3 linked regions of the Caenorhabditis elegans genome follow. The protein of the gene in region 1 purifies or fractionates together with the protein of each later gene. This does not show direct contact. Each region holds a gene or a part of one and is shown on either strand. Other genes may lie near its edges.

The links.
Region 2: the proteins of wts-1 (region 1) and nxf-2 fractionate together in Caenorhabditis elegans (co-fractionation; one large-scale study listed by BioGRID). This does not show direct contact.
Region 3: the proteins of wts-1 (region 1) and sec-24.1 fractionate together in Caenorhabditis elegans (co-fractionation; one large-scale study listed by BioGRID). This does not show direct contact.

Annotation. Positions count from the first base shown.
Region 1 is NC_003279.8:10,290,153-10,300,060, forward strand, and holds wts-1 (Serine/threonine-protein kinase WARTS homolog), read right to left. Parts: upstream 7,776-9,908; 5' UTR 7,695-7,775; coding exon 7,572-7,694; intron 6,608-7,571; coding exon 6,350-6,607; intron 5,969-6,349; coding exon 5,711-5,968; intron 5,196-5,710; coding exon 4,987-5,195; intron 4,929-4,986; coding exon 4,823-4,928; intron 4,777-4,822; coding exon 4,669-4,776; intron 4,425-4,668; coding exon 3,858-4,424; intron 3,575-3,857; coding exon 3,234-3,574; intron 3,080-3,233; coding exon 2,719-3,079; intron 2,670-2,718; coding exon 2,478-2,669; intron 2,191-2,477; coding exon 1,987-2,190; 3' UTR 1,927-1,986; downstream 1-1,926. Other genes in the region: T20F10.2 (Si:ch211-1a19.3), read left to right, coding at 8,157-8,185, 9,123-9,192, 9,239-9,356, 9,406-9,571, 9,710-9,838, 9,888-9,908. UniProt on the Caenorhabditis elegans protein: Phosphorylates yap-1 which may negatively regulate yap-1 nuclear localization. Plays an essential role in larval development.
Region 2 is NC_003283.11:14,414,268-14,420,568, reverse strand, and holds nxf-2 (Nuclear RNA export factor 2), read left to right. Parts: upstream 1-2,733; 5' UTR 2,734-2,773; coding exon 2,774-3,085; intron 3,086-3,132; coding exon 3,133-3,219; intron 3,220-3,267; coding exon 3,268-3,414; intron 3,415-3,464; coding exon 3,465-3,527; intron 3,528-3,573; coding exon 3,574-3,705; intron 3,706-3,756; coding exon 3,757-3,821; intron 3,822-3,867; coding exon 3,868-4,279; 3' UTR 4,280-4,422; downstream 4,423-6,301. Other genes in the region: dhs-22 (DeHydrogenases, Short chain), read left to right, coding at 1-118, 174-369; set-31 (SET domain-containing protein), read right to left, coding at 545-747, 794-965, 1,012-1,155, 1,202-1,319, 1,366-1,478, 1,527-1,820, 1,868-2,176, 2,315-2,473; C15H11.11 (Cytochrome b-c1 complex subunit 10), read right to left, coding at 4,423-4,561, 4,607-4,755; nxf-1 (Nuclear RNA export factor 1), read left to right, coding at 5,557-5,683, 5,732-6,123, 6,173-6,301. UniProt on the Caenorhabditis elegans protein: Involved in the export of cellular mRNA to the cytoplasm. Plays a role in the nuclear retention of unspliced mRNAs.
Region 3 is NC_003282.8:11,560,670-11,569,232, reverse strand, and holds sec-24.1 (Protein transport protein Sec24C), read left to right. Parts: upstream 1-3,038; 5' UTR 3,039-3,041; coding exon 3,042-3,141; intron 3,142-3,184; coding exon 3,185-3,352; intron 3,353-3,396; coding exon 3,397-3,504; intron 3,505-3,547; coding exon 3,548-4,494; intron 4,495-4,545; coding exon 4,546-4,800; intron 4,801-4,852; coding exon 4,853-5,084; intron 5,085-5,134; coding exon 5,135-5,595; intron 5,596-5,645; coding exon 5,646-6,527; intron 6,528-6,573; coding exon 6,574-6,801; 3' UTR 6,802-7,247; downstream 7,248-8,563. Other genes in the region: pold-2 (putative DNA polymerase delta small subunit), read left to right, coding at 7,401-7,479, 7,525-7,614, 7,660-8,093.

The sequences.
Region 1 (9,908 bases):
ATGCTGAAAGGGATAATAGACGGTCTGCGTCACTACAGTTTAACCTGTTTATCGCAGAAGGCGTAGGGAAAGGAGACAGTTATGTTGTGTGAGTCTCTCCACATGTTCACCCCCTAGAGGAGGCTCTCTTTGTAAACGCCGACTGCAGGCTCTGTTCATCTTTCCATCCGAACACCTAAACAACTTCTGTCATTCATTTTATCTTGTTTCACTTTTTATCCTTATCCTCCTCATTAGCATTTCATGGATTTTAAATCTTAATTCTTAATTCTTGAATTTCTTCGTTTCTTGACATTTCGTCAATAAAACTTGTTTCTTAAATTCCCTATTTTTCGAATTCGTCCATCCTTCGTCGTCGTCGTCTCGTCCCAAATCCCTTCCCATCATCCCATTCCATCCACCCGTCTTAATTCTTTAACTTCTTGACATTTCGTTAAGAAATATTGTTTCTCGATTTTTTTTTTTCAGGTTTACATCCAAGAACTTTTTTTCTTCAACATTCAGATCGAACAACTTTTTAAAAAACTAATTTTTCAAACAATTTTGCTTGATATTTGTAATATTTTCAAATTGTAAAAAACTCCTGAAACAATTTCAGATCGAAATTTTTGAGGTAGAGCTTTGCCGCTTAAAATTTTGCAGTAACATATCCTATGGAACATTTTCAAATGGCATCTTTCTCTCGCTTTGAAGTCTGACGGTAAAATGAAAACCTTCCCTTGTTAATAAAAACATCTTTATCGTAACAAAATTGCATCTATATTTTCTCTTTTCCTTTCAAGAAATATTCTCTTTTTAGCTTCAACTAAAATGTATCTTTTTACAGACCTCAATCAAACGACGATGCATGAAGGATGGATGGCATGGAAAAATGGAAGGAAAAATCCAAATCTGTAAGGATTTTTTGATGTTTTAACTAAACTGCAAGTTTTTACAGATGCTGAAAGATGTGATGGAACAAAATGGCGCTCAATGAATGGAAAGATCTGGACGATCGGGATGGATGGATGGATGGATTGGAACGATCGGTAGGGATTTGGGACGAAACGACGACGACGACGACGAAGGATGGACAAATTCGGGACGGATCGGGATGGACGGTAAGTGAATCCATCTTGCTCCTTCTTGTGAGTGTAGCGTCCCCGTTACGTTTACCTGGCTTGAACTGAACTGGTTTGCTTGAATCTTTCACTGTCCAATTTCTGAACCGGGTTCAAAAGTAGCAGGCAAGGGCTGCATTTTCGGATTTACTGCTACCCCCTGAGTTGATTTGTTTGGAAACAAGCAAATCTTGTACCGTACTCAGAGGCAGTGAAATCGATTAATCTCTTAATGGGAAATGCGAACTCCTGCGAAAATAAGAACAAGGAGACTGGAAATAGCGTCAAACAGACGAGGGCTTATCGGACGGTTCTTGCCACATAGGTAAATTGTAATGGGCGATGCTGCGCAGTTCTAACGGTACAGAACATCACTTGAAGTGCTATACGCTATACGCTATACGCTATACGCTATACGCTATACGCTATACGCTATACGCTATACGCTATACGCTATACGCTATACGCTATACGCTATACGCTATACGCACTGTAAATTCAGAGACTTTCGGTGTAATTCCGAAAGACGAAAAACCAGTAATAATTTCTCAATGTGATTGATTTTATTGGCACTACTGACAACTGATCCACTTTTTGCATCCAAACATAGAATGTTTAATTTCTAAAAATTTCATTGAATAAAAATTCATTTGAGCAAAAAAAAAACGAACGAAATAGTGTGGCGACATGAGAGAAAAAGAGAAAAGAAAAGAGATATTAAAAATATCTCGAATTCTGAAAACCGTATCGAGATCATCACAGAATTAGTAAAGAGGGTAATTTGGAAAATTAAAGATAAAAATAGAAGCAAAATGAGTAAAAAATGATACTAAAACATCACATTAAAATCATATATAATATAATCAATAAACAAATTCATGCTCTTTTAAATATGAGACGATGAATCTTCTTCCGACACTGACTCATTAAAAGTTCCGTTTTCAAGTAATGGCCGAAGTGACCGACGACGAGATGGTCGAAGTGATGGGCAACCAACAGAATCCGTATCAAAGAAATGACGATAAGTGAATTCATAGAAGGCTGGATTATGAAGACCTCGCACATTCGGCTTGTCAGCACGGTCATTGTCCTGGAAATTTGGAATTAGAAGTGTGATAGGTTTTGAAAGAAAACTTTTCAAGATTCCAAATTTAAGTTAAAAATTTGAGTAGTGAAACTCAATTATGTTTTTATTGGAGCTGCTATGTATAATAGTTTCAGAAACTCCACAATTAATTTACTTTAATTCAAATAAAAATTCTGTATTTCAAACTCAAATATTCATAATTTTGATGCTATCTTTTTTATGTCTACATACATAAAATTATATCTAACTTTTTTAGACACTCTAAACAAAGTTTAAAAGGAAAAACTCACTTGAAACGTTTCAAAATTAGAAGTGTCTTCATCGTGAGTGACCCGAGGAATATAAATATAATCAGCTCTCAGTTTTCTCAAGTTAACCCAGTCAATTCCCCTGAACCATGGATGATTTTTGACTTGTGCCGTTCGTTCGGCAACATCCTTCCCGTGAGATCCCAATCTTGACGACGCGTCACAAATTAGTTGCTGAAAAAGTTTTGGTCTTCACAACGTCTATTTAAACAAAAAAACTTACTTGAATCATCATAAGGCACTCTTTTGATAGATTTCCACAATATGTAAAATCAAGGAAGTTTCTCCAATTCTTAATTCGATGTTGTGTTCCACCAGGTGTATCATCATGAAATGGCACTCTTCCAAATACCATCTCATACAAAATCACTCCAGTCGACCACCAATCACAACTCTGATTGTGCCCGGTTTTGGCAATTACTTCGGGTGCCATGTAATTTCCTGTTCCAACAAGAGAATGGGCGGTTATCCGGCGGGTTTGTTGTCGAACATTTAGAACTTTAACGCTTTTATCAATAGCTGCAACTTCAGGAGGAAGCGAGAATGAATCGACACGATGATGGTCGTTTTCAGGTCCATAGTATCTAGAAAATATTGGATGGTTTCATGTGTGACTTAAATATTTTTTGCACAGATGTTGAGCACACCAACTACAATTAATCATTTGCGTCGCGCCTAGGCTCTATTCCATTAGACACCCTCTCTTTCTCGTGACAAATAAACAATACATAATCTTACCTTCTGTCATGAGTCCACCTCAAACCAGTGCACAATCCAAAATCAGTCAACTTAATATGTCCATGTTGATCAATTAGAATATTATCCGGTTTCAAATCTCTATGAATAAATCCAACATTATGAACATATTCAATTGCACATGCCAGTTCAGCAATGTAGAATCTAGCGAGATCTTCTTCAAATATTCCTTTTTGAATCAATAAAGTCATCATATCTCCTCCGGGAACATATTCCATTATGAAGTATAGACAAGCATCATCTTGAAATGAGAAGAAAAGACGAACAATCCAAGGAGAATCAGCTTCTGCCAGAATATCGCGTTCGGCTTTCACATGGGCGGCCTGAAAGAAAATGGTGTTTTTAGTCAAAAAGTTTTGAAATTATTTTTCGATCATATCGCTTTACAGTCACATTTTAAAAACTACTAGACTCACAATATATCTGATATATTTTCCTACTAGTAGCAAATATAGAATCAATTAAATTAAAAAAAAAAAACCTAGAGTATCAAAAATGTTAGACTTTGCAGTTTTCTTACTTTCTATTCAAGGTTTTATTTCAAACGTAGGACACCAATATTTTCAAATTTTTAAACCAAGATCCTAAACAAATAACAAATCCTACCTGTTGTTTCATTATGACATCCGCTTTTTCCAAACTTTTCATTGCATAAACCTTCCGAGTATCATTTTTTCGAACCAATGAAACTTTTCCAAATGCTCCAACACCAATATGTGAGATGACAGTGAAATGGCTTTTACTCATCTTTTGTCTTCTTAATCTCGTATATTTTGACTCTTTTTGTTGAAGTAATCCCAGCATTTTATTCCTCATAATATCCGGTAATTGAGCTGAAACCATCTCCTTTTCCAACTGTTTCATTCGTTTTTCTCGTTCTTTATATTGCTGTAGAAGTCGTTCAACATGTTGTTCCATATAAAATCGAAGCATATTTGGTTTACATGGTTGAACTCTTCGTGTATTCTTGATGTATGGTTCCAAAAGTGTTCGATCAATTGGGGAGCTGACTCGTTTCGGAGGTGGCTCACTGGGTTGATTGTATTGAGGAGGAGGAGGTTGAGCACGTGATTTCATTGTGATTTCGAGATTTCTTGGTTTGAAAAGGATCGGCCGGAAATCTTCATGATTTGCATCGGAAGTGGATGGAATCAGGCGAGGGTCGGGACGCAGCTGAAATCATTTTATTTTTAGGGTTTATCCCCGAACTTTATAACAATTATTGTTCTATTCATAAAATTCAACTGGGCTCTCGAAACCGATTCTAAAGTAGTTTTGCAAATTTTTGCTGATTATGGGTGTCTGCGAAGACAAAACTTTTAGTCTCTTATATTTTATGAGCTCTGTCAAAAAAATGACTCTAGAAATATCAGTTAAATATTTCAGAAGGTAGGAGTTGAATTTTTCTCAAATTTACCTCATCTTTATAGTTGACAAAATTCTTCCTATCGACATCAGCTGTATACCGTGGACCAATAATGAATGATTTGCTTGGAAGAGGACTATCACCAACATTTACTTTTGTCTGAAATTAAAAATGAATTTTAATATCATTTGAGGTCATAAAATACCGTATGAGGAGAAGCAACATTGATACTAACAACACTACTAGCTGTTTTTTTGTCCATTGATGTATGATAAAGTCTCTGGATATTATCTGCTTTTCGTTCTTCACTCCTGAAAAGTTAAAGCAAAAGATTTATAGAATCCTTCTGATATCGTTTAGAAAACTTACATTGTCTCGATGGAAATCGTAGATTTTGCTGGAGGAGGCGGTGGGGGTGCCATATTCTTGTTGTGATTGAGCATTGTTGGATTCGGTGGTGGCGCTTTTACAACAGGATGAACTTTCATATGCAGGTGAGTACGGTAGTTGTCTGTTGCAACTGGAGTCATTCTAGTGTTCACCGGAGATGAATCGTAGGCTGGTGGAGGTGGTCGAGACTGAAAATTTTCATTTATTAAAGTGTCAGGTCTGCCTACTAGGGGTGTTTGTGTGTACTTTATTGGACTCTTTAATTTATTTTACAAAAAAAATTTCAGAAGTTATGAACAGGTCACAAGAAGGTCCCCCTATTGCTTGAACTAGGAGTATTTTTCAAAGAAAGTTTTGGTCCATTTTCTTTTCAGCTTAAACTTTCAAACTTTGTCAATTTGGAAGTATATTTTGTTACTAATTTTAGTTGTTCACACGTGTCTCGCCGTTGATTAAAGTGCCTTTTCAGTTTACGGGTGCACTAAATATTATCAAATATGTGACCGAAAATGTAGCCAAATCAACAGAAAAACATGGAACGAACGACCAAAATATGAAAAGTGATAATCGCATTGACAATTTGGACTTTTTTCAAAACTGAACCACCGCAAACCAATTTTTTTAAAACAAAATTTTAAGTGGGACTTCTCAGAAAAAGTACTTTCCGATTCTTTAGTATTATATTTTTTCGAGAACAACTTACATATCCTGGTGAGTATTGTGGTGCATTGTTATTCATATGATATGCAGGAGTTGGCATATCATATCGATATCCAGCAGGATGTATCCTAATCGACTCTTCAGTTGTTGTAGAAGGTGTTGATGATATAGTTGTTGATGGATTTCCATTTCGAATCATCTCTTTTCCACTTCGAAATACTGTCTCATTGGCACCAGTATCCATCATTAAATGTCTTTGTGGCATTGGTGTTATCCGCATCTTGTGACCACCACCTTCTGTCTGAAAATATGATTTTTTCACTTTTGAACCACCACCCTTCACCACTTTTGAAGATCATAAATCGATTCATAGTTGACAATTTTCATAAAATCCCAAAGTTGAGCTGAGCCACCTATTTCATAATTTTTTATTCAATAGAATTTCTAGCTAGTTTGCTACAATTCCATTCTTTTTTTTTTCGAAGAAAAATATGACGCTTTCGGCCGGTCTATGTATAAATTTCAAAAAAGTTATGTTTTTTTTGGGCATACGAACTGACCTAGACGGAAAATTTGACGGACAATTTTCCCAGCCAATCGAATTTTATTTTTTACTCTCAAAATGTTTTTCCATTCGATTTCCAGGACCATTTTTGATTAAAAAAAAAGAAATGTGACTCACTCTAAAAGAATTCGAATTTGATACAGCAGCGCTCGAGACTGTCGTCGTCGTCGCTGCTGCATTTGAAGAAGAAGACGAAAAATTCATCACTTCCGCATTGTCATTGGTGATGTCAGAATGGCTGACGGAAGAACTTGACGGTGTTGCAAGTGATCCAAGAGCCACGTGACTTGATAATAAACCGGCTTCATGTTCGTAAGCTTTCAGCGATTCGCGAATTTCGTCGAGTTTTGCACGATGACGCCCCACGCGGATTTCCTGGAAAAACAATTGGTTTAATTAGTTATGCCAAATTATGGTACCACTGCCCAGATGCGAATTTTTTAGAATTTTTGTAAAAAAAGGATTTCTTTAAAGCAAAAAACTTTGCGTTTCTATGGAAGTTTTCAATGTTTCAACACTGAAATTGTACATTTTTCTGAGCAATTTATATATTTTTCATATGAAAAATACTGATTCATTGATTACGAAACTATTAAAAGGTGATGCTTCTAAATGGAATTTTAGGTGATTTCATTTTCTTATCAAAACCGCCATTCCAAGTGATAACGTCTGCCATGAAAGCCCCGCATTGTCTCGGAACGCCAAAGTGTTGAATAAGAAAGGGTGAAGTAATTTTGAGGATTTTTTTTTAAATTTTAATGAGTTCTACGAATCTTGAACAGATTTTGAAATTCAAATCAGGAAAAAAAAACATGGAACTGCAAAAAAAAATGATTTGCGATTATAGATGTATTTACAAACAATAGCAAAGCCAATATAATTTAAAAGAAGACCTTTTGAATAGGACCCCACAAAAAATTTAGCAACAGAAGAGCATTTTGAACTAGAAAAAATTGGTCCGAAAATGCTAGAGGTAATTTTTAAGTTAAATAATTTTTTAAACGGAAATCTGAAAGCATTTTGATCGAGTTGATTAGGGGGAGAACATTTTTAAAAATTTTATTAAAACTCCTAGAATTTTCAATTGCTCTTAATCACTGAAAAACAACATGTCTGCAAAAAATAGCTTTTGGAGCAAGTCTACAGCTCTCGAAAGTTGTGAAAAGAGCACTAAAAAGTTTCAGATCGTGACACTTTGCCGCTTAAAATTTACAACGATCTAGTTTAAAGGTCCTCTTTCAAATGACACATGGTTCAGCTGAAAATCTAGGGAGTGATCAAGCCAAACAGATCAAGATCTGAATCAATAACCCAATCACTTTTCCAAACCAAAACCTACTGAATTGTGATGGGCATCTATCGCTGAATTAGTAGAGCCAAATGGGATCGGAGCAACTCCACGTTGATGTCTGATATCAGAAGATGCACCATTTGGAGTAGTACCAGGGGCAGCAGGTCGCATTCCAGGGGAATACAATGCAAAGGAGGGCCTCCTGCCGAACACTGACAAACACACACACGGAGAAGGCGATGGGAATGGATTGAAGTAGAAGAAGAAGAAGGTGAAGAGATAGAATGAAATGATGAGAGAGACAGTGATACAAAACTTTCTGTGTCTCTTATCGTTATGTGGTCTCTTTGCTTCCCGCCGCTCTCTCTCTGACTCCCGCAGGAAGAGGAGAAAAGTCTTTACTCTCTTTTGCAGGACATCTCTCTTTGTCTTATTCTCTCGTGTTGTCTCTTCCAACATTCCTCATCCCTCGTCACTCTAACATCTCTCCCCGACTCTCCAACCTTCTAGTGCTCATTTTCTGCCGTTTAGTTTCCAACACATTTAGGACGCCTGTGTCTCGGAACCTCTCGCCGTATCATCAGCGGCCATCATCGCCCGTCGAAAAGACATACTTGCCGGTATCCCCCCGTCATGTCATCCAGCAGAAAGCCTCTCATACGGTAAGTTTTTAGAAGCTTTTTATAAAACTCTGTGTTTGAACAAATATTTTTAAAGATGTTTTCCTGTTTAAAATTTGAATTGAAAGCCGATTTTGAGAACAACTTCGAAGTGTTGAAAATTTTCCGGATTCAAAAATGTGCACAATTTGTAAAATTCACCAGCTTTACTGAATTTAAAACAAATTTTTAACATCTGTAGAAAAGGGGTGCTCCTTGCCCTCGCCGGTAGTGGAGAGGCACTCCAGGCGCCCCTGTTACTGTCGACTGTGCCTGCGTACTTTTGAGAATATATATTACCTTCAACATCTATATTTTAAATACTGAATATTGGAATTTTCCGACAAAAAAATTACTCTGGCTTAAATTCTCAACCAAGTTTTCAAATTGTTTCTGTAATTTTGCATAAGACCCAGTAAGTGCTATAGTACATCATCAGCTTTTGTAATTGAATTAGAAATACGTACTCAAGTGATTTTAGGTTAAAACTGGAAATTGGAGTTGTAATTTTTTCACTGGAATGATAACTCTATATATTACTACTGAAAGAGTCACAACTCTGTAGTTTTTCTTATTTAAAATGCAGTTTTGAAAAAATAACAGTAGACATAAGCTTGATACTCGAATTTTCTTGTATTGACTCAGTTTTCTGTGTTTTTATGAATTTTGATGATTTTTTAAATCAAACAACTATGCATTTCCTCTAATTCTACTACAAATCCCCTTTAATCTCCGTTTTTTTGCATTCGTCAGCCTATCAAAAATCGATGTCTCTTTCCTTTTTGTATCTATGACATCCACGCAGTCTTCCGTTTGCATAAAAACGAAACGGTGCGCCGCAGATGTCGCGTGGCTTTTCCCTTTTTTGTAACCATTAAACAAACATATAGATACATAGAAGGACAACGTTTAAATAAATATTCAATTTTTTTTCTTTCAGGAGCAGTTCACACTCGGATCGTCCTACTACAATGAGGAATTGGCCCCTTTTTGTATTTCTTATTTGCCTGGTAATATAATTAACAAGAAGTCAATGAAATTATACACTTTTTGCAGGTATTATTCTTTTACGCATTCTACGTATATCAAGCTCAAGGAGAAGTTTTATCCCAGACAAACGAAGAAGTTCGACAACTATCCGCCCAGCTGAGTCTCACCAAAGGAAAGCTTGTTGGTTAGTAATTTTCTGCCGTTTATCTGAAAATATAGTATCGTTTCTTTAGGAAGTATGGCAGATTTGGAATCAGCGAATAGTGAGAAGAAGTCAGTGTCAATTCAATTGGATGATATTACAAAGAAGAACGAAGAGTGTATGACATCCTTGAGAAATACGAAATTGAGAGTTGATACACTTGAAAAAGACGGAAAATCGAATACCGATAATTATACGTGAGTTGGGGAAAAATAACTACAGTAATAATCTACACTACTCCAATCAAAAACAATTCAACAAAAATCAACCTTAGAGCTCAGTTCATTAATTAAATGAATATATTTCTCCCAAATTTAAATAACCAACACTTTCAGAAAAATGCAAGAAGAACTATCAGCGCTCAAGGAAAAAGCTGAAGAGCTTCAACGAAACAACACTGCATTGAATTCTCTTGTCTCCACACAAGCACAACTCATCAACCAACTCAATCAGACTATTGGAATGTAGGTTTCAATTAACGTTACCAAAATATAATTTGTTTTTATTTTCCAGTATTCAATTCGAAAAGGAAGA
Region 2 (6,301 bases), on another chromosome or scaffold:
AGGACGGAGCCGAACACGTGACTGTTAACTCCCTGCACCCAGGAGTTGTTAATACCGAGCTCGCGAGAAATACCATTTTGAATACACCAGGAATCAAGCAGATTACAGCTGTTTTCCGGTAAGCCAAGCCAAATTTCCACACTTAACCTTAAAATAAATAAAATTAATTTCAGTTGGTTCCTCATGAAAACCAGCCGCGACGGAGCTCAAACTTCAATCTTCCTTGCATTGGGCAAAAAGATCGGTGGAATCAGTGGAAAATACTTTGCCGATTGCAAGTTGACCCAAGAAAACCCACTAGCCTTGGATGATCAGGCCTGTCAGGATTTGTACAATTATAGCTTGGAATGTACTGGCCTCGCCAAGTAATGTGCCAGCGCAGCTACAATAATTTCTCTATTAAGAATTCATATCAATCCCATTGTAAACTTTAACAAAGGCTTTATATTCAAGTATTTAAAATTAAAATTTCATTGAATGAATAAATATGTAATACATAACAAAACGAAAAACAAAACTAGTTGAAAACATTTTACAGCGAGTTTCACTCGAGGAAATTACCATTTTTTATCTTCCAGATTTTTGGTGACTCTACCAGAGACATGCCATTGAACGTCGACGTCAGTTTCTCCTTCTCGGACTTCTTCTTCGCTGACTGGTCGATATATACAATCTCTCGGCACTTGTGCTCACATTTGCACTGCACGAAGTCGATATCCTTCTCGAGGAGATGGAAGAGTTTGCCGTCTGAATGAGGACATTTATCTAGGAAAACTAATTATCAAGAACGTACCTGGAGCAACAACCTTTGAGAAGTATTCCTCAACCTCTTTTTTGAAAGCCTTGAAATAATCAAGGGTGATCACATATCCATTGCCTTCGTCGAGGGGAAAACGTGAGTAAATCACGAGATCAGGAATGTCGTTTCCTGATTCAACCAAACGAACATTGCATGTTGGATTACACTGGATATCATCAAGTTATTAGAATAGTTAATTGAATAAAACTCACGCTGTGGGGAATGAATTTTGAGAAGTCATAGAACTCTCGACGATCGAGGCACAAATCTGTTCCTGGAATTTCGACGAAAGAACTGAATGCAACCTCTTTTCCTTCAGTTCGCAAAGATTCTCGAGCAACTTCGGCTGGTCGAATCTGAGATGAAATATTATACAATTACAATTACAGTTTTTAAAATTACCACTCCAGTCATGACCATCAGAGGAACATTGGGGAGACTGTACATAGCTGATAATATGTACCAGCCCGATCCGGGTTCCTGTCTCATTTCAAGTGGTATGGAGAATCTCGAGTTCACTCTAAATAAAAATAATTAAAATCTGAAACACTTTTCAAAACACATACGCCTTGTTGATTCTTCGCATTCCCTCGTACTTATTCTCATCAACCTCCTTCAGATATTTTGGCTGTTGTGATTCGTCTTTGGCAAAATACAACCGGTCGATGAATGGCCGAACCTGAAATTTGTGAATTTAAGAAACAGAAGAAACATAATAAATGCTCACATTGTTGAATCCAGCTTTTATACCCTTCCGAGGGAAAAAGTGAGGAAAATTTTCACGATTCTTATACATTTCTTCTGTAACTGGTTCAAACAAGATGTTTGGCAATGGAGGCGGAGGGAAGAGGACTGATTGCTTCTTAGTTGGGTAGAAGATCTTGACGAAAGGATAATCTTCGAAAATCTGTCTCTGATATTTCATCTCCTTGTCATACTGAATATGACTGCTGTTGACTCTATCAATTTGTGGAACGAGGAAGGAGTGTAGAAGATGCATCTGGTTATGCTCTTTGATGTACTGAAAATTCGATTTTAAACCAGTACGGGTAAATAGAAAATACTCACTTTCAAATACATAATCTTTGCTCCGATGTTGTCTCTCGTGACAAACTTGACCGAAGATCCGAAAACAGTGGCTTCCGCTACGATTGATAAAGGTATCAAAGTGTTCGTGAAAAATACTAAGTCACTAAGCGCGGTATCCAGATTTCGGAGGAAAAAGTCAAGATTCGTTACGTATGAAGATTTCAATGTCCTTGCAGCATACCCCATAAGCTTCTCGGTGCACACAAGTCGTCGTTCAGCTTCTTCCGTGTCACCACCATTCCAGTTCGTCCACTTGACTGTATATTGAATCTCCCGTCCTTCGATTCTCTGAGATATTGTAATTATGGTGGTTTGAAAACAATTTTCTTGGCAACTACCTTTTGAGTTACACGAACAAATCAAAATGTATTTGAATACAATTTTAAATTTCACAACATTACTTGAATAACCCTATAAGAAACACACCGAGCGAACGATATCTTGAACTTCATAAAATTCGGTGTCCACCTTGCCGGTATTTTGGGTGGAGATTTTGTCACATTTCCTTGACTTGGATGCATTCTTTTTGATCGCATTCTTGGACTTTCGCGATTTTGCTTTCTTTTTAATATCCTTCGTAGTCATTCGTGGTGCTTTTTTCTGCACTGCAGCCTGAAAGTTCGTTTACCGGTTTATTTGCTTTTTTTTTTCGATTTAAACATACCTATTTTTTCGCAAAAAAATTGAGGATTGATTTTTTAGCTAAAAAATAAAAAATAAATATTTGGGCTAAATTAAAAAATTTAGATGATTTCTGCAAAGGATGAGGAGGTCTCGCATGGATTGACACACCTTGCGACTACGGTAGCTGTAGATTTACGAAGTGATTTTCTTGTCTTCAAATCGACTTCAATTTTTCAAACTAAATGCTCACTTTTTAAGATTATGCGTGGACAAAATCGGCGAGGCTATCGGAATATCGAAGGACGGCTCAGCCTTTCATCCCATTCATCGCATTCTTCACCACGCCAGACACATGTCACAAACTTGAGGCCAGCTGAAATCAAGGTTGTCCAAGATGTCGTGGATGGGTGTTATGTTGCGACTGACGATGTTCTTAACCTGTCGAACTTTTCAAAAAACACAGAATTTGTCGAAAGGGACATGTTGATGTGCCTCACGAAGACAAGAGTGATGTCGGTAGTTCTACAGCATATTGGGTACAAATATCCTCGCATTTCCGGAATCTCATTCTCGGTTTAGATTAATTTGTGAAAAAATAATTAATTCCATGTAATTTTCAGAATAATCGGCTCTGTCACTTGGACCATCTCTCCTCTCTCTCGAGCATATCCAAGTTTCTAAAATTCCTCGACTTGAGTCATAATCAGGTTTTAAAAGTTTTTGTATTCTTAAATTTCATAACTTTTTTTTCTAAGATTTCGTCAGGAGAAGAATTGAAGAAGTTAGGAACGATTCCAGTAGAAACTGTGTTTTTCGAGGGAAATCCAGTCTGCGAGAAGTTTGTGCAATGTGCCGAGTATGCCAACTTTATTCAAAAGACATTCCCAAAATGTTCAAATTTGGTAATTCACGAATATCCTAACAATTATTTCAATTTCTATCTAAATTGTAGGATGGAATGGAAGTCGAACCAAAACCAGATCACAATAGAATCGAGCAGATAATTCCATTCAGGGTGATACAGTATATTTCTACATTCCCGAATCATCTAATTATTTTAGAATGGATACTATGGCAGTGATGAAGTTCGTACTCTTGTCGAAGAATTTATCATCACATATTACAAAATCTACGATGGCGCAGATGGACAGCAGACAAGGAAGCAACTTCTGGATGCGTACGACACAAATAACGTGCTGATTCTTGCATTTTTTCAGTAGTAAATATAAACATATATTTTTCAGTCAACATTCACGCATACAGTTGTCTGCTTGTGGGACCCAATTAAATTTGTCATGTATCCGGACAGGTACCGTCTGAAGTCTTAAGGTTTTAATAATTATTTATATTTCAAGTGAGAGCTATCGAATGTACCTGAGAACTTCGCACAATGTTCTGAATCAGGAATATTTTGCCGCAAATCGGGCCTCCAGAATATCACACGGTGCAATGGATATCGTAGTTGCACTTTCGAGACTTCCTGCCACAATTCATCTGATGGATACATTCGTAGTTGACGTGTTCCTTGTTTCGGCAACACTTCTCGGATTCACATTACATGGAACATTTCGTGACGGACCATCTGCGATAAAGCCCGAGAACACTGAGGAACATGATAATTATTTTACGAGAACATTCATGGTTGCTCCAAGAGGCGAAGGAAAAGTCGCCATTGTTTCCGATCAGCTGTTCATTAGCTCGATGTCAAAAAGACGCGGCGATCAGTACCGCATGCTAGTGGAGACAGCAACGGACATTGACCAGTGAAAATTATATATTTTCATACATTTAAACGGCATCCTATTTGTATTTTTATGTCTAGTTTCGGATCATATCTTGTTACCAACACCTAGCATGTTTTTTTTTGTCTCAACATTTTACAGTTATTTGTTAATCTTCATTTTTAAAAATTATTTGTATGGAACAATGTCTAATCGGTCTTTGTAGCTATCAATTTTCAAATTGACCTGATCAAAAGTGGCAGCACCAAACCAAGCAGCTGCGAATCCAATTGAAGCACTCGCTAGGTAGATCGCGATGATTCTTTTTCTGAAACAATTCCATTTTCAAGAGACTTTTCGTGGAAATACCTACCCCGGTTTCCTCAAACCGGGAAATACGGGAACACGGGAGAATGTGAATTCGGCTGAAGTTCCGATGTCTGGCAACATCTTCCGACGTTCAAAACGCGTCGGAATAGGCGCAATATTGTCAAGACGCGAATCAGGGGTGTACTTCTTCATATTCTTTTAGTTGTAAGAACAATGGAGAGAGACGGATGTTTTGGAAATTGTTGGCTGCGAAGATGGGAAAAGAGTGGTGAGCAAACAAAAATTACGGGGAACAAAACGTTTTCTCGTATTTTTACTGCTATCTATATAGCCACTGAATTTGCAGAAATATGTATATTTTGTTGACAGGTGACAGTGAAATATTGAAAATTTACTCATATATTACAGTAGTATCTTTTTGCGGTTACTGTAGTCGGCGAAATTGAAAATCACTGTTCAACGATTAATATTTTGCATGATCGATTTTTATCATGCCTCTTAAGTGTTACTATCATTCTAACCGAGAATTCACGTCATTTTCTGACTCGCATGAAACATGTTTGCCTAAAACATTTTTTATTCTTGTTTATGTCGTCAAATTGGGGGCTCGTCTGCATTTTTGCGTAACGGTGTTTGCACAACCGATAAAAGTCACGAGATTTTTTTTTGCATAAATATGATTCAGTTTCACCAATTTTCGAATTGCCGTTCTTTGCTTAGTGTTCCAAATGTGAAATTATAGTTTTAAAATCTGATTCATTGAGTTTTCTGATTTCCGCAAAACTAAATTATCTCCCGGCTGGAATGAGGCAGCCGTCCCAGTTTCGCAACACTTTCGAAATGAGTAAAAATTTAACTTTTCCTTGTCTATTATAACTTTTCATGTTCAATATTGCTTTCTCTTGAATATCATATTTATTTGTGTTTCACCTACACCTTTAATTTAATTTTTCGATACCAGTTTTCCCTCGATGAAATACAAATCTTTCAGATATGAATCGCAAAGGGTTTGGAGGGCATCGTGACGCGAAGCAATTGTCACGTACAAAGAATCGTTTTGCTCGACTTGACCCAGACACTCAAAGCAGATATGAAGACGACGACGAGCCTGCCGTTCCAGGTAACGCTTAGATTTATTCATATCCTTGCCAACTTATTTTTGTTTCAGTTCGTGCAAGCCTTACTTCTGCCAGTAGCCGTGGTCGTGGAGGATCATCACGCGGTTTCGGACAATCGGCTGCATCCATCGCCAACACTGGAGTTCGTAATGCTGACATCGTCTACAAGTGCCGTGCTACTGGAGCTGCCAAGAAAGTTGATGCCAAGTGGCTGATCAAGCAGCTTAATCAAATAATCGAAAATTTCAAGCCACTTCTCTGGACTGATAACGCCCGTGGAGACTTTGAATGGTACGTCCGCGACGAGGACACTGCTTCAACTATCCGAGCCAATAATCGTCGTGTTGTCCACAAAGAAAGTGGCACACGCGTTGAGTTTTACACTTCCAAAGTTCCAGCCCCATGGATGAAACTGAAACGAGAGGAAATTGAGATCATTCATGTAAGCCTCAAAATTTATTTGTCAGGTAATCATTACAAACATTTTTCAGAGAGTAGTCGACAAACGTCACAACGCCGAGAATCGAGTATTGGATTTATCAAACTTCCACGAAGACGAAGAGTTCAAGGCAAAGGATATGATGATGAATTTGACGAAAGGAAATGTCATGCTCACAGTT
Region 3 (8,563 bases), on another chromosome or scaffold:
ATAAAGAAATGAATAGCGCACTGGGAATATTTTTTATATAAAAATTTTAGAATTAATAAGCTCAGAATGGATTATATAGTCTCATGAGTACATAAATATTTAAAATTAAAGAAAGTGTATTCCAATGAAGAAGGAATAAGAATGTTATGTAATGATGACGTTCATCGGTCTCATTGTCTCGTCCACTTGGGAAGAACAAGGTTCCAATTGGCACCTTCTCGTAGTGGCCGTCGTAATATCCCTACACTAATCCTCCTTACACGGCTAATGTACTCTTATGGGAAACGAAAAGAACATGAAAAATGCGAGATAGGCAATACAGTACAGTCTATATATTTATTTGCATTTTGCAATACCATATAGAAATTCGAAATGTGCGTCGAGAAAGAGAAAAATAAAGTGTGAAACGTATGTTTGCCGTAATTAACAAGCGCATTCGACGACTAGAGGTGCGTGCGCGCTCCGCCGAGCCTTTCCAAGGTCTGTAAACACGGATTGGAGCGATAGAGCGGTCAAGACTAGAGAGACGTAGGTGGTTAGACACATGTTCTTCCCGAATGAAGAAGAATCTCCAAAAAAGACCGGTCCGGAAAGAAAATCTATGAAGCTATTCCAATTCCCATCACTGAATCCATGAACATGGTGGAGGGCTGAGAAGTCAAGCGTGACCGGCAGAAGGACATGGAGATCCGGTGCCTATCGACTAGCCACAACTGGTGAGCGTCGAAGAAGAGAAGATGTTGTGATGAAATTCGAGATTGTCAGCGATAATCGAGAGACTAGGTCAAGTAGTGGAAACGCAGAGAAAGGGGGAGACGATGACGTGGATGCTCTTTAATACAGGTTGAAATAAAGAAAGAAAGAAAGAATAGACTGAAAACATATGAATAAAAACATTATAAATGTCGAAGGAGACAATATGAAAACATGTAGGGAGCGGATGATGGACGGTATTCTAATAGTAATAGTAAACGAATAAAAGAACGATGTGAATCGGGTCAAAACCAAATTAGTTTCGAGTGTCCTTCTGAAGAGGCTAAGGGATTCAAAAGCGGATTTCATGATGATGCGATTACATCTGATCCTACAGTATTTTATACTTTAACTCCATGTGTCACTGTAAAATATCGAGAAACTTGAGAGCAGTGTTGTCTCGATTTACTGAATATATCAGTAAAAATGAATAGAATATTTCTAAATATTGCGAAAAAACTGATAAATTGTGCTTCAATTTATAAAACAAAAACTCAATTAATTCAGCCGGAAATGTCGAAACTAGGTCAATAAAATTCTCTGATTAAAAAACCTATTTTAAAAATTAGAAAAATGCTATGATATTTTACGAGTCGTATTCAGTATAACGATACTGGGTTTGAAATTTAAATAATAAATAAAACCCACAAATTGATCAAAATAATTTCAATGCTTTCAAGTTCATAACTCAAAATTGTCATTAAAAATCGGGTAAGTAAAATAAATGCGGATTTGTATAATTCATGACCGACAAAATAAGGATAAAACTTATTAGCATCATAATGGATGTGTTGAGCGGCGGATGCGGGCGGCACACACTCAAAAGAAGTAAAAGAACATGCATTGTTTATCCGCGGCTCATTCGTCATAACAAGCTCTAATAAAGTAATAAATACCTAATGGACGTGAATAGAACGAAGGAAAAGGACCAAAAAAGGATATGTGACACCTGACGCAAGTGTTCTCTACCGATTTCACTTCGCTTCTGATACACAATTACATTATTTTAGCATCGTGCCTGGGAAATGAAGTCTTTAGGGAATCGTAAAATTTAAACCATCCGTCGTTCTGCACTAATTGATCAAAAGTGAAAGGGCAAGGGAAATTCAGCTAACGAAGCCGAATTTATTTGTCAAACTGAAGCTTAAAAGCATTTTTTGAAAAAACTATAAGCACAAAATAATATTTCTTACAAGTATATTCAATAGAGTTCGAAATTAAACATTCGTGAGGGATGTTCAATCGTCTTTTTATCCGATGGGTAGTACCTGACAGTAACAATAATAACTTAACCTTGAGACCATAAGTGGCAGACGGTGAAAGGATTCGAAGCGCCTAATTGCCATTGGAATCGGGTCATTTGTGTTACTAATGTTCCGGGATACAAAAAAACAGTGAAACGTGTAGACACCCTGATATCAATATTTATAGGAACAAAGTTGAAACTGATACATTTTCTTGAGGGTTTGAGTGGGCCGAAAGATTGCAAAAAAAAAGTCAAAAAGTGAGCGAGTGACTAATGTAAATGGAAACTGTACAAACATACTGAATAGGGAGGGAAGAGGTCAGAATAAAAGAAAACTCTTTCCTATTGTTGCCAGTAATGGACGGTGAGATCCAGAAAAACAGAGAAGGGCGGTGCGGTTTGAATACGAAATACGGAAAACGAGAAAGGGATTGAGAAACAGCTGGCGATCTATACCACAATTAGCATAAATAATAAGAACCTCATTAATGAATATCGTGAGGAAATTTTTTTTTTTTGAAACCTTACTTTGAATATAAATGTGTTTAGCCAAATTTTTGTAATTTTGAGCACACAAAAACGTGCATCGATATTATTAATAAGGTCTATTATCACATCTAGTTGGAGTTTAGAAGGATTTCCCGAATTAAACTGAACAAGCAGTACTAGCGGGTAATATTCTATTCAAAACCTACAGAATCCTGATTCAAATAGTAATTTTTAATCGCCTAGGTGTAATCTAAATAATTATCAACATTTCCATTTACGGAAACAAAGAAAAAAGAAAAAAAAACAACAAAACAAAAAATTAAAATTCAAAAAGTGCCGAAATGAAGAGAGACAGCTGTTGCCTGAAGAGACGCAGCACGCTGGGTCTCGCAGCGATTTGCCCACCGCGACGTTTGCGTACACGGTGGATCGCGCTGTGACATGGAACTTTACAGCAAAATCAACGTTCTTTTCGGGATTTAATTAATTTCTAGCTCGATTTCTAGCTTTTTTATTTTGAAAAATATAAAATAATCTTTATACTTGTTCCAGGATGTCATATCAGCCGCCACCAAACGGGCAAATGCCCGGATATCCTCAACAGCAATTTAACCAACAGCCGCAGTTTCAGTCAAACGGATTTCCCCCTCCAGGTGAGTTTATATGAACATTTGCATAATACAACAATTGTTTTAGCAGCGCCGCAAAAGCCAGCTCAAGTCCCAGGTGGATTTCCTCCACCCCATCAGCAACCAAATGGACAGTATCAAAATGGAGGCTTAAATGGAAATTCGTCTCACTTGGCACAATCTGTGAATAATATGTCTATTGGAGCTAGATCAACTCCGTCAGCACAACCCCCAAGTGAGTTGCTTTTTTTTCGCTAATCCGTTAAGTTTAATTTTAAGATCCGTACCAGCCAGCAGGATATCCCGGAGCTCCACCACAGCAATTGCAACAAGTACAGAGACAGCAAACTCCTCAACAGTTCGCCGCTGTACCTCAAAGTGTTCAAGGTAAATAGTGTTTATAGAGGCAAAGCTAAAACTTCTATTTTAGCTCCTAGTGCCACACCTGCAGGTCCACTTCAAGCAATGCAACAAGCGCCTGCTCCGACTCCGGGAATTCCGCAAATGAACCAAGGAGCTCATCTGCCGCCACAACCACATCAGATCCATCAACCCACTCCGCTTCGACCACAAATCCCTGGTTTTCCACAGGCAGGCGGCTCTCCAAGTTCGTTCCAAGCTGGAGCACCCACTTCACAAAATGTTCAAGGCTACCCAGGTGGACCATCTTCTGCTCCTAGCGCTTACCCAGGTGCTCCACAAGTGCCTCAAGCGCCCAATTCGTTCATCCCACCTGGCACAGGAGGATTTCCACCAGGACAACCCACAGCGGGCTCGTTTCCACCCGGTCCACAAGTTCCAGGATCATATCCCTCTGGCCCAGCAGATATTCCACAAGGCCCAGGCATGCCAAGAGCATTTCCTCCGGGAGCCTCAGCTCCAGTTGCACCAGGGATGCCAGGAGCATTCCCTCCAGGACAAGGAGGACCAGGAATGCCGGGATCATTTCCCCCGGGAGCCCCAGGCCCAGGAGGACCAGGAATGCCAGGATCATTCGCTCCAGGAGCTCCAGGCCCAGGAGGTCCCGGCGGATATCCCTCAGGAGGTCCAGGTATGCCGGGAATGCAAGGTGGATACCCCGGCGGCCCACCACAGCAACGACAACAACGTCTTGATCCTAATATGATGCCAAGTGCTGTTCAAGTTATTGATGATGATTCGTCGACTCGTAGCGGGATCTTCCCAACTGGATATCCGAACGCTGAATTGCCGCCACTTGTTTCTACAAATTCTTTCGCTCAAGATCAAGGAAACTGCAACCCCAAATTTATGAGATCAACCCTCTACACAGCTCCACAGACTAATGACATTTTGAAAGCATCGCAGATTCCGCTCGCCGTTGTCATTTCGCCATTCGCATCTCTGACTGAATATGAGGTTTTTTTTTTAATTTTTCAAAAATGAATAATCAATTATTTTCAATTTCAGAAAGAACCACCAGTCGTCGATCTGGGACCACAAGGACCGATTCGTTGCCAGCGTTGTAAGGCATACATTTGTCCGTTTATGGAATTCCAAGATGGTGGACGCTCCTTCCGTTGTCCATTTTGCCATGCTCGAACTTCTGTCGAAGATGCTTATTTCGCCCATCTCGATCATACAGGCAGAAGAACTGATATTGAAATGCGTCCAGAACTCTGTCTTGGAGCGTATGATCTCGTAGCTACAAAACAATACTGCAAGGTACGTAATTAAAAAAATCGCAATTTTCAAAAATTCTAAGTGACATTTTTAGAATGGAATCGCGCCAAAAGAACCGGCCTTCATATTTATGATTGATGTATCCTACAATGCTATTTCAAACGGAATGCTTCCAATTCTTTGTCAAAATCTGGAGAAAGTACTTCGAAATTTGCCAAGAGAATCTGGACAGCTCGAGTCGTCTATGCGTATAGGATTGGCTACATTCGATCAGGCGGTTCATTTCTTTGACATTTCGTCGGCATCTCCAAAAATGCTCGTAATGTGTAAGTTTGATAAACTTATAAAAATTTGTCTAAATATGTACTGTTTTTAGCTGATGTTCAAGAGCCATTTGTTCCTATGGTCGATGGACTTCTTCTCCCTTACAACGAGGCACTTCCTGGACTTCGTGCCGCATTGGCTGAAATTCCTAAACTCTTTTCGCAGTCGAAAACCACCGAAACCATTCTTCAACCCGTCGTACAAGCCGGTCTTGACGCTTTGAAGTGTGCCGACAGAGCAGGAAAAGTGATTCTGTTTTCAACTGTTCTACCAACATATGATGCACCGGGAAAGCTGAAATCCAAAAATGATCGATCTCTTCTCGGGACAGATAAAGAAAAGAATGCACTGGTTCCACAAGAAGATTCATACACGAAGTTGGGAGAGCAATGTGTCAAGTCAGGAGTTACTGTCGATTTATTCCTCTTCCCAAATGCTTTCATTGATGTTGCCACAATTGGTCAGCTTTCTGCAGTTACGGGAGGATCTATTTTCAAATTTCAGTATTTCTCGGTAAATTTAAAGAAAAACCAATAATTTTATTAATTTTATTTTTATTTCAGGCCGATAAAGACGGTGTTCGCATGTTGAATGAGTTGGAACGACACGTTTCTAAGAAAATTGCATTCGACTGCATGGCAAGAGTAAGAACGTCTACAGGAATTCGTCCTATCACTTTTACTGGCTCCTTTTACATGGAAAACTCAACGGATTTGGAATTGGCTACATTGGATGAAAGCAAAGCATTCATCACAGAAATCAAACATGATGATAGTCTGAAAGATCCAGCTTCCTTCATTCAAACCGCTGTACTGTATACGTCGATGACTGGACAGCGCCGTTTGCGAATTTTGAACTTATGCCTTCCAGTTACTGCTGATTACAACCAAGTTTACCGACTTGCTGATCCGGAAGCATTGACAGCATTCATGTTGAAGCAAGCTGTTCAATTGAATCGTGACAAGGGAAGCTCAGAAATGAGAGAATCACTTTCTTCTCGTTGTGCACAATTCCTAGCGACCTATCGAGAGAAGTGTAGTGAAGGTGCCCCACTTGGACAACTGATTCTTCCTGAATCTCTGAAATTGATGCCGCTCTATGTGAACTCTATTTTGAAAAATGATGCGATCAGTGGAGGAAGTGAAATGACAGTCGACGACAAAGTGTGGCAGATGGAATTGATCCGTGGGCTACGAACTGAAAATGTCATGCCTCTTATTTATCCAAGAGTTATGCCAATCTCTGATCTACAAATCAATGATACTGAAGAAATGAAGGATCTTCCAAAACCTGTTAGAGCGAGTTCTGAGTTCCTGGAAAATTCGAAAGCCTATATTATTGATAACGGTGTTATTCTGTTTGTCTGGGTTGGCTCTGCATGCCCCCAGACATGGGTTCAAGACGTGTTTGGTGTTGGTGCTACAAATCAAATTGATACCGAGAGTGTAAGTTATCAATTGCTACGTTCAATTAGTCAATTACATTTTTCAGGGAACAATTCCGGAAAAAGACAATGGTCATTCACGTGCTCTTCGTCGTGCAATTCAACTTTTGCCACGTGGGATCCGAGAGCGAAAAACGTTCGTTGTCGTGGAAAAAAGCGGCCTTGAGCCATGGATGAAGAAATTTTTAGTGGAAGACAAGGCTGGTCCTGCTAATATGTCATACGTTGATTACCTTGTGGATATCCATCGCAAAATCCGCGATCTCATTTCCTAAGTCGTTGATACTGTGATAGAATTGCTTCTCTTGATTGTTCCCTTTGTTCTTCCTTCATATTATTTTGATCACGCCAAAGCAAATCTTGTGATTAGAAATGTTGGAAGAATTAATATTTTGTACCGGTTTCTTTGTACACATTCATTTCCTTCCCTCTCGCCGTACTATTTTCTTTTAATATTATGGAGCATGGTTTGTAAAAATTAAGATATTAGCTTTCCTAGCACCTTATCAGTGCAAAAATAGAATTTGTTTTATCTGCTTTTTCCCAGATTCCTAATTTATTCTTTTCCAGTTGCTCTCGCGACTTTTAGAGATTTCTATTTATTGTTCCTTTTTTTGTAAAATATCCCCTATTACCCCGTCCATATAATTTATTGTGATTTGAAATGGGATCGAATGTGTTTAATTTGATGGTGTCTTATGAAAATAAAATGTTTTTGATTAAACATTTGAGAATCGAATATGTTGACTTTGTGAATATTATATTTTTGAAATTCACTTCGGTGTAATGTTAACGCGCTCTAACGCAATTTGCCGCGAAATTTCAACATTGACAAATTTGCCTTCTTGAATTGATTTTTTTCTTTATTTTAAGAATGGAAACCGCTTGGTCCAACATCCTAAACTATAAGAATGTCTCAGATCGATACATTCTCACTGAAAAAGATAAAAAAGGTATTTATATTTTGCTCTAAGCTTTAAAAAGTTATTTTCTTTCAGGTGCGTTCACTAGACAGTACTTTGAAGTCTACGAAGCTCGCTTGAAGGAACTGAAACCTCGTATTTTGGAAAATGCAGAACGTGAAATTGGTTAGAATTATAATATTACTAATAAACCTTAATTTTTATCTTCAGGCAAGGGAAAATTCACGCATTCACAATTGAGCGATGCTAAACAAGACGAGGAAATCTTCGTGGTCGGCGTTATTGTAAAGAGAATAGCTGCAAGACCATCAATTTTGAAATCGTTGCTCAACGAGGATAAAGTGGCTTATGATGATTATGAAGAAGATGCCGAAGAAGACGAAGTGAAAAGATACGCTGGAAGCATTGAAGATCGAATCGAATTGGAATCAGATAAACAGACAGTACGTCTGGAAGGAAATATTTCAATGGATGAGTGTGCAACTGGTTGTTGTGTTGGAGTTCTTGGAAAATTAGGAAAAGAAGGAGTATTTCATGTGAATCGTTTGGTTTGGCCATCTGTAAAAGTTCCAAAGAAAGTGGCTGTCGACGGGACTATCGCTTTCGTCAGTGGACTCGATCTAACTGGAGATTTGGAAGACGATGTGAGTATTAATTCTGTAACTTGAATACTATTCCAACTTTAAAATTGTGCTCCAAAACTACGGTACACGATCTCGAAGCGACCGATTTTTGTTAATACAAAAGAGTGCGCCTTTAAAGAGTACTGTAGTTCCCAACTCCTCGTTGTTGCAGATTTTTCATTAATTCGTCAAAATTTGAAAAACATTTTCACATGTTTTTCAATAAATTTCAAAGAAACGGATGAAAAATCGAAGAAAATCTACAGAAGTTCGGAACTACAGTAATCTTTAAAGGCGCATAATCTTTTGTTTTCTGTTTTTTTGTCTAATTTAAATCGAAAAACAACCAAATTACACCTTTTCTCGGATATTTTAATCTAAGTATTTCCACTTAATCCCGGACTTCTGAATGAAATCTATGCCATTTGAAAGAGCATCTTTTAAATAGGCCCCTACAAAAATTTAGCAGCAGAGGACCACTTTGATCTGGA